2 linked regions of the Rattus norvegicus genome follow. The protein of the gene in region 1 interacts with the protein of each later gene in a pairwise test. Links are inferred from orthologs where the notes say so. Each region holds a gene or a part of one and is shown on either strand. Other genes may lie near its edges.

The links. The genes of interacting proteins can lie anywhere in the genome.
Region 2: the proteins of Ube2k (region 1) and Rnf167 interact in binary tests that used the Homo sapiens proteins (3 or more experiments, as listed by UniProt). The link is inferred for Rattus norvegicus from reciprocal best matches to the Homo sapiens genes UBE2K and RNF167.

The regions. Positions count from the first base shown.
Region 1 is NC_086032.1:43,069,371-43,073,670, forward strand, and holds the start of Ube2k (ubiquitin-conjugating enzyme E2 K), read right to left. Parts: upstream 2,801-4,300; 5' UTR 2,633-2,800; coding exon 2,570-2,632; intron 1-2,569. UniProt on the Homo sapiens protein: Accepts ubiquitin from the E1 complex and catalyzes its covalent attachment to other proteins. In vitro, in the presence or in the absence of BRCA1-BARD1 E3 ubiquitin-protein ligase complex, catalyzes the synthesis of 'Lys-48'-linked polyubiquitin chains.
Region 2 is NC_086028.1:55,858,100-55,862,053, reverse strand, and holds the start of Rnf167 (E3 ubiquitin-protein ligase RNF167 precursor), read right to left. Parts: upstream 2,801-3,954; 5' UTR 2,189-2,800; coding exon 2,105-2,188; intron 2,029-2,104; coding exon 1,948-2,028; intron 1,925-1,947; exon of another isoform or gene 1,038-1,924; intron 817-1,037; coding exon 691-816; intron 593-690; coding exon 505-592; intron 343-504; coding exon 252-342; intron 73-251; coding exon 1-72. Other genes in the region: Slc25a11 (mitochondrial 2-oxoglutarate/malate carrier protein), read left to right, coding at 3,157-3,251, 3,776-3,928.

The DNA of each region.
Region 1 (4,300 bases):
CAGAGATCTGCCTGCCTCTGCTTCTCCCGTGCTGGGATCAAAGTGTGCTCTGACAGGTCAGTTATCTTTACAAAGGCACTTAAAACAGGCAAAAAGGAAATCAAGTTGTAAGACCCACCAAAACACTACCAAATGAATTAAACCTGTATGACACGGTGAATTAATGACTTGACCAACTACTCAAAAGCTCATATTTAGGGTTGGGGATTTAGCTCAGCGGTAGAGCGCTTGCCTAGCGAGCGCAAGGCCCTGGGTTCGGTCCCCAGCTCCGAAAAAAAAAAAAAAAAAGCTCATATTTACGCACTTAAAAGGGAAATATGTAGACTGCACTATGGGTTCTTCACTCAGGTGAAATCAACACAACCTATCTAGGGAAATGAAATAAAATACTGGTGAGGATAAAGCTAACTGTTGGCTGTGGTTTTTTACAATATTAAATTTTATCTGATCTTTTCCAAAATATTCTTTGCAACTTACTTCCTTGAACTGAATTCCCTGCTAGGTTTTTAAGGCACCATTCTTGAACTCATATTTCCTATTTCCTTCCTGAGAACCATTGACAATGTTTTTAACCAGAGGAGGAGCTTTTATCCGATTTGCACACTTGGGTGTAGAGGTCAAAGAGAAACCTTCTAGCATGTGGGTCTGAATCTGAACTCGGTCATCAGGCTCCTCAGCCATCAATTAAATAGTAGAACAGTAAATGGAGCTGGCCACTCAGCCCATCAGTTAAATAGTAGAATAGTAATAATATGTACTACTAGAGTCATACAAATGCCGATAATCTTCAACTTAAACACCAAATGCCATGGTGAAAAGTCAGACCACACAAAGCAAAGAGGGTATATCAATTTTCAGGGCAGTAACTTGACACTTTTAGATAAAAGAAAGCATGAGAGGTCTAAAGACCCATACAACCTTATTATAGAATACATGTTGTAGGTTGTTAACAACATAAGAATATACAACGACCCCAAACTAAGTTTGCTTATTAAAGAAAAAGTTTAAATAAATCACCATTAAAAATGTGAATACTGTCATTCATATTGTTTCTGCATTGTTTCACAAAAATACAAAGTCATCCTTCCATTCAGAGTTTTGGCAAATGAATACAGAGGTCAGAGTTCATGCTACGTAAGACAGATCCCTACGTATTTCTTAGTATGCTCACTAACGCTGCTAACATTGTCACTTCAATTTTAAGTGACTTTCTTCATGTCTACTTGGAACGATGGATAATTGTCTGCAAGCTTGGGGGCACAATAAAGCTGGAGAGCTACAAGATTTCTAACAATTTCTCATATGCTTAAAATGACGAATTTTAAAAATCATTAATGACATTATCAGAGTACCAAGCAAGCATAATAGGAAAACTGTGAACCTTGAAAAAAATAATTACTTTCAGAATTGTTAAGTTCAATCATAGAAAAACTGGCATTTTTGTCGATTTAGCACTTTTATAGCAGAGTAAAATTATTACTTTCAATATTTCACATAAATAAATCTGGTAAGCATTAATATGCTTAAAATTTGCAGGACTTACAGGCAGTCAGAGTTTTATTTTTTAAATATGCTATTTCCTGATATATTTTGTGACAGAAAAATAAACCTAACTCAATAATGAGCTACAACAATGTGTATCTGATGAAATCCCTTGGTTTTAATAGGCCTCTTTTTAAAAGTAAGACTCAAGTTAACTATGAGGGACATCATAATGAAGTTTCACAGTACAACACTAGTCACAGAGGCATTACCCTAGGAGAGCCTCTCTGATACGGGTGAACAGTATTTTGAAATAAGCTACTCACACACTCCCATTATTCTTCCTATTTCAAATCATTTAATTAACAAACAACTTGCCTTTGACTAGACAAAAAGCTTTAAATATCAGTGAGGAGGCCTAGTTACTTACTGGCTGGGTACGTAGAAAAGAGATGACTATCTAATTTGGAATTATTTTTTTATCTATAGTGAAAATTGTTTCAACACCCCTTCCCAATTCAAGAATGCCCATTATGTCTCCATAGATCCCCCAGCACTGTACCGTAAGGGAGCAACTGAAAGTCTTCTCGTCTATACCTAAAGACTGTGAAGGCTCCTTCCCCAAGGAAAAGACAGCAAAGGCCTGGCAGGCAATATCCCCAGTACCCCTGAAAGCGTGGGCCTGTGAGGTGCGCTGCTGCCGGGGATCTAGTTACTACCTTTCCCCTTCCCCCAACCCACTTCCCGGGTTTTCTCGGCCTGTTCCTTCCCCACCGTACAGTCACACTTCCAGATGTTGTTGCCGCCGCCTCGGGGCTCTCTCTAGAGCTCACGTGCCCGGGACGAGTGCTTCGGCATCTGCCCCCCAAACCCTGTTCCTCCCCAGGCCGGCCGGCCGCCCGCGAGACCGCCTATCCCAGGGCCCGGGGAGGGGAGGGAAAGGCGGCGGGAGGAGGAGGGGAGACCGCCGCTTCCCCATAGGCAGAAAGGCGGCCGCAGCGAGGCCGGCTGGGACCGCCGGGGTCGCGGAAGGAAGGGCCCTGCCGCCCTGGGCTGAGATGGGGGTGTCCGGTAGCTCATTCCTGACCTCCTCGCTCTTCAGCACCTCCTTGAACTCCCGCTTGATTCGCTGCACCGCGATGTTGGCCATGTCTCTGCCCGCAGCTGATTCGTACCCGCCTCCTCCGCCACCGCTACGACCACCGCCACCGCTGCCACCTCTTCCTCCACCGCCTCCTCCCTCAGTGATTCAGACCCGAGCACACGAACGCTGCCACTGCCACCCTTGCCGTCGCGTTCCCCCTCAGTGTAGAATCACCTCCGCGCCCGGCCACCAAAATGGCGCCGGGTCCGCGCATGCGCACCACGCTGACCCGGGCGGGCGGCGCAGCCGCTCCAGTGGTAGCCCCATACGTCTCAGCAGCGAGCCCGCGCCGCGCGTCTCAGCCGGGGCTTCGGCCGCGTGGCTCCGCCCTGCCGGCGGCTGGGGCCAGGAGGGTGCGGTTTCTGTGCCGGTCCGCGGGGTTTGGGCCTGCGGGGTCCTCCCCTGCCCCTCGGCCCCCTTTACGGTGAGGCCTCCAGTCCCTAGCCACGGACCCGAGGTGGGAGCCCCGCCTGGCGGGTTCCCGGGGCCCCAGCCGGGCTGAGCCTCGCTCTAACTCGGCCAGACCCAGAACCCACGGGCTAGAGGTGCCTCCCTGTGTCTAGCGGAGGAAAAAACTATGCAGGAACTGGGTCCTGCCCAGCGTCCGTTGGTAAACCCCCGGGATATCCACTGCCGTAGCTTTTGTTCTGGAACCATGATAACGCAACTATTATTCGGTCATCTCAGGTATTACAGATTTTTAAGGTTGTGTAATGGTTGCGTCCCACGGGTTGTAATTGATACAGGTGTTGCCGGGGACAGGCCTGTGATGAGTTTAAAAGCCAGAAGTTAAATCTTTGACCTGTTTAGATAGTCAATGCTGAGCTGTAGAACTAACATGTTTTTCAAACTTGAACGCACCTCGGAATCCCTGGAGAGCTGGTTAGATTACTAGGACCTATCCCTAGAGTCTGGATGGGGCTAAGAATTTGCATTGCGAGCAAACTCCCTGCTGCCTGTTTTTCAGCGACCACGCTGTGAGAATGGCTGAATTAAGCATGTGAAAGTCTGTATAATTTATAGTGACAGTTGGAGAAATAGAAGGCCGAAAGAACTTTAGACCTACAAAGGTTTTTGGCGCTCGTAGATGTCAATAAGCAGTGAGTGAATATAATTGAGTGGAGAAAAGATGACCGAGTAAAATGTTTTAATTGAGCAACAACGTTGAGAGGCTATTTGAAAGTGGTTAGTAGAGTTTAAAACAAATAACGGAATGTAGATGCTGAGGAATACTTTTGAAAATAACATTGTGAAATAATGAAGGTATTATTTTAGGAGTATGTTTCATGTATTCACCTAATCAATCAGTTCAGTATTCCATCATAAGACTAATACGAGCTGAATGTAGTGGTATAGGCTTGTAATCCTAGATTGGGAGACAGAAGCAGGAGGATCATGAGTTCGAGAGAAACCAGTCTAAGAGTGCTCCCACTTCTCTCCTATATCCGTTGCCAGCTGCGGTTCCCTCGTCTGTGAAATGAGGAGGTTGTTTAAACTTAAGAGTTCAAAATTCTGAAACATCTCAAAGCCTTTCCCTGAGTAGACAGACATAAATTATAAAAGATCTTATAGCAGAGCCCTCTAGTGGTTATAAGGACCGTCAACTATATACTGAACAACTGAACACTACAAAGGATTTTTGCTATGATATAAATCTAGAAATGTTGTAGGTAT
Region 2 (3,954 bases), on another chromosome or scaffold:
ACAATCCCAGTGAAAGGAATGAGGTAATAGCCCAAGGGGAAGCTATTGTCTGGGACCAGAAGCACCCGAGCCCTGAGGAAAAAAAGACAGTCTCAAGCCAGGCAAACTAAGGTTACTGGCTTGGGACAAGGCATAAATGAGAAAATCAAAACAGATGAGGAAGACCCTGAACCTGAGTGGATAGGGCAGTGAAGTTGGGTTCCAGACTGGCATGGAACCCAAAAGAAGACGGAAGAAAGCATATGTCCTACCCCTTCTCGTAGACAAAAAGAGCTCGTAAGTACTCTGCACTTCTCTCTCCGATAAATACAGATGGGATCCAGATCTGTTGTTGGATTTCCTCTGTAGGGAGCAGGAGATTAGGGATTTAACCTTCCATTCCTCAATCCCCTGAAACTGGCTTTAGGCACATTTTGCAGGTCTCAACCAACTGCCCTGTAGGTCTTTAGCCCTCCCACTGAACTATATGGAGAGACCCAGCAGTACAGACTTCTTCATCCTCACCACTATTCCACACCATGTTTAGAAGTTCATTGGAATTCACGTTGTGTACCACAGCTGCACCATACCCAGCTTTCTGAGCATTTAGGACCTAAAAAGACAAAGCAGGACAGAGTTGCAAACCTTGCCTTTCTTCATTCCTGGTGTCATTTTACCCTGCTTACTACCACCCGTTCCCCATTCAGCAACCTTGAGGTCAAAGTTGCAGTCGAATCTTCGAAGCAGTGCAATAAAGACTGACCCATTGACTGGGGCTGAGGGTGGTGGGGCAATAGGACTGCAGGCATTTTCTGGGTGGGCCTCCACAAGGAACCCCTGAGGGATAAAGGCAAACAGATTTTTCCATCTTTTAGTATTCTGTCTTCCACAGGACCTACTAAACATAACAGTACACATACTACCTGTATTCGGCAACTCTACCATTACTCATTCTTGTGGTCCCACCCAAATCAGAATCTACAACTCAGGTAGACATGGTGATACATGCATTTAATCCCAGCACGTGGGAGTGCAATGAGTTGGGAGGCCAGCCTGACCTGCACGGTCGGTGAGTTAGGGACAGCCAGAGTTAGAGTCCAGTCTCAAAAAAACAGAAAAGATCTCTTAGCTTCCTGAAGATGCAATTACAGTAAACAACATCCCTTTACCCAGAGGCTCCCTTGACTTCTCAAGGCTAGTTTAGTTCTGCTTTTAAGTTTCCCAGGGACAGTGATTCAGCTTGCTACTTATTTGACTTTCACAGCATATTCAATTGCTTCGTTTTCCAATTAGCCATCTTACAACTCTACTGCTGTGGCAGTAGTTATGTGGCAAGAACTTCGTAATGAACTCTACAGACATGCTTATCTCACTAGTTAGCACAATAGCCCTAAACTAATTTCTATTACTTGTTTTCCAATAAAAGACTGTCCACAGCCATCCATGCAGATAGTAAGTAGCTCCAGAGACATGGCTGATAAGCACCTGTTCCTTATCTTAACCTGTTCTCAGACTTCCTCTTAAATTTGGAAATTCTAGGGGCTGGAGATGGCTCAGTGGTTAATAGCACTGGCTGTTCTTCTAAAGGACTTGAGTTCAGTTCCTAGCACCCATGTGGCATGGCAGCTCACAACTGAGTGTAACTCCCAGTTTCAGGGGATCTGACACCCTCACACCTAAGTACATAAAGTAAAAAAATACCTGGGAGTTCTAGGGGTGGACATTGTCTTTTATCTCTAGATTCTGGACTCTGGGCTGGACACGATCATGCACATGTTTTTTCGGGGGAGGGGAGGGTTGCTGGAGATTCAACCTAGAATCTCACTCATACTAGGAAAAGCACCCTATCACTGAACTGTATCCCACAGTCCAATGTATTCCACTGCTATCTCAACCATTTCCTACCTCCTGAGCACGGATACTTAACCCCTGCCCAGGATACACGTAGGGAAATGAGGAAAGCATCACCTGGAGTCCCTCATCGCTCAGAGTGGCCCCAAATAGAGCTGGAAGGTCTGCAAAGTCCATGCTGGCATTGTGCTCCGAAGTCTGCAGATAAAACAGTACATTTTCCAGTCTGAAACCCATTCTCAACACCCTTTCCCCATCCGACCCTCAGACTCACCGCTCGAATAAGCCCTCGGATAGGGGCTGCTCCCCACAGCACAGTAGCCACAACAACAGGGAGCGGGAAGGCCGCAGGGTGCATGGCAGCAGGAGGGGTAAAGCTGGGAAGGTCGCGTCCTGATAGCAGGAGCAGAAGCCAAGTCCTGCGCCTTCTCTGCCTCTCCTTCAGGATCCCAGGGGTCCAACCACCCCTAGGTCCCACTTCTCAGCTACATGGGGGCGTCGGGGAAGGAACTCCGATTCGGGAAGTGAGCTATCAAACCAGCTTAGTGGAGGTGGAAAGGGAGACAATGTATCTTTCTCTGGTACAGAAGTAGAACAGAATAGGAACGAAGGCAAACAGGTAACAAAAAATAACTTCTGGGTGGGAGAAATCTCAAGGAGGTGGGACTTCCGGCCAGGTAGGCCTTCTTCCTATGCCCCTGGAAAAGGATTTCCGGTAAGAAAGGCCGCTTCCAGTATTGGACGCTCAGGACGGAGGACTTCCGGTCCAAAAAGGCCGGTTGAAAGAAATGTTCGACACGTAGAGCGTGCCTGCGGAGATGAAGGGAGCTCCGGTGCTCAGCAAACGATCTAATTTTTTTCCCTTAGTCCCTGAGATCTTGGAGCTACCTGTTTACAAACCTCTCCTTCTTCTGGCCGCCGCGATACGTTCAAGTATCGCGAGAATGCTCACCAGCCTCTTACCCCCTCCTTCGCCGCTGGAAATTACCGCGAGAGGCCTCATAGCTCGAACTCGACTGACTCACTTGCTCTCGCGATATTTTCAAACAAACTATTTTTCCCGCGATTCCAATTCTGGGGGGCGGGAGCTACAGGGTAGCTTCCTAAATCGGCCACGCCCCTTCGCCTTGCATCTTAGCCCCGCCTTATTCCCGGCTGCCTTTGCGCTACGAGCCTGCGCCCGCCCTAGCTTCCAGCTGGAGCCAGATTTGCCTGTCGGAGGGGCGTGCGCGCGCGCGCCCTCCCCCTGTTGCGCGCTGGTGTCACCTTGGGCGCGAGCGGGGCTGTGCGTGCACGGGACCCAAAGCCGAGGGCCATCAAGGGACGATGGCGGCGACGGCGAGTCCCGGGGCTGGCCGGATGGACGGGAAACCCCGTACCTCCCCTAAGTCTGTCAAGTTCCTGTTTGGGGGCCTGGCTGGGTAAGCTCAGGCCCCAGGATTGGGGAAAAAGGAGGAAGGGATGGGAGCAAGCAACTGGGCCCAGTGCAACTTGGGAGTATGTTGCAGTAAATTGAGCCGGTGCGGGGTCCCTGATGGGTTGCTAAGATCTATTCACCCATTGCAGGGGCCCAACTGGGCTGTATTCAAGGGTCATTGCCCCGTGTTTCCACCACCATTGCTTCACTGTGCCTGTTTGGGTTGTGGGTCGAGGCCACTAAAGGCTTTATCATAGGACACCTTTTCCACCCTTCCTTAGACTTCCTGTAGTCCTAATTCTGCTTGAACCTTAAAGAACTGCCCGAAGTATTTTGATTTGCGTGGTCTTTACTGGGCAACTGGACTTTTTCTGGCACATTTCCCTTGATGCACACACTTAAACACATTCCCACCAGCCTCCTGAATCCTTAGTTGCATGTCAGTCCCTGACCTTTGTAACTTCTTGCTGCCAGGTTACAGTAGAGCTGGAACAGCTGACCTCTGATTTCTTCCCTGTCTTACTTAAGGATGGGCGCTACCGTTTTTGTGCAGCCCCTGGACCTGGTGAAGAACCGGATGCAGTTGAGTGGTGAAGGCGCCAAGACTCGAGAGTACAAAACCAGTTTCCATGCCCTCACTAGCATCCTGAAGGCAGAAGGGCTGAGGGGCATTTACACTGGGTACTGTGGCCTCAAGTTGGGGAGGG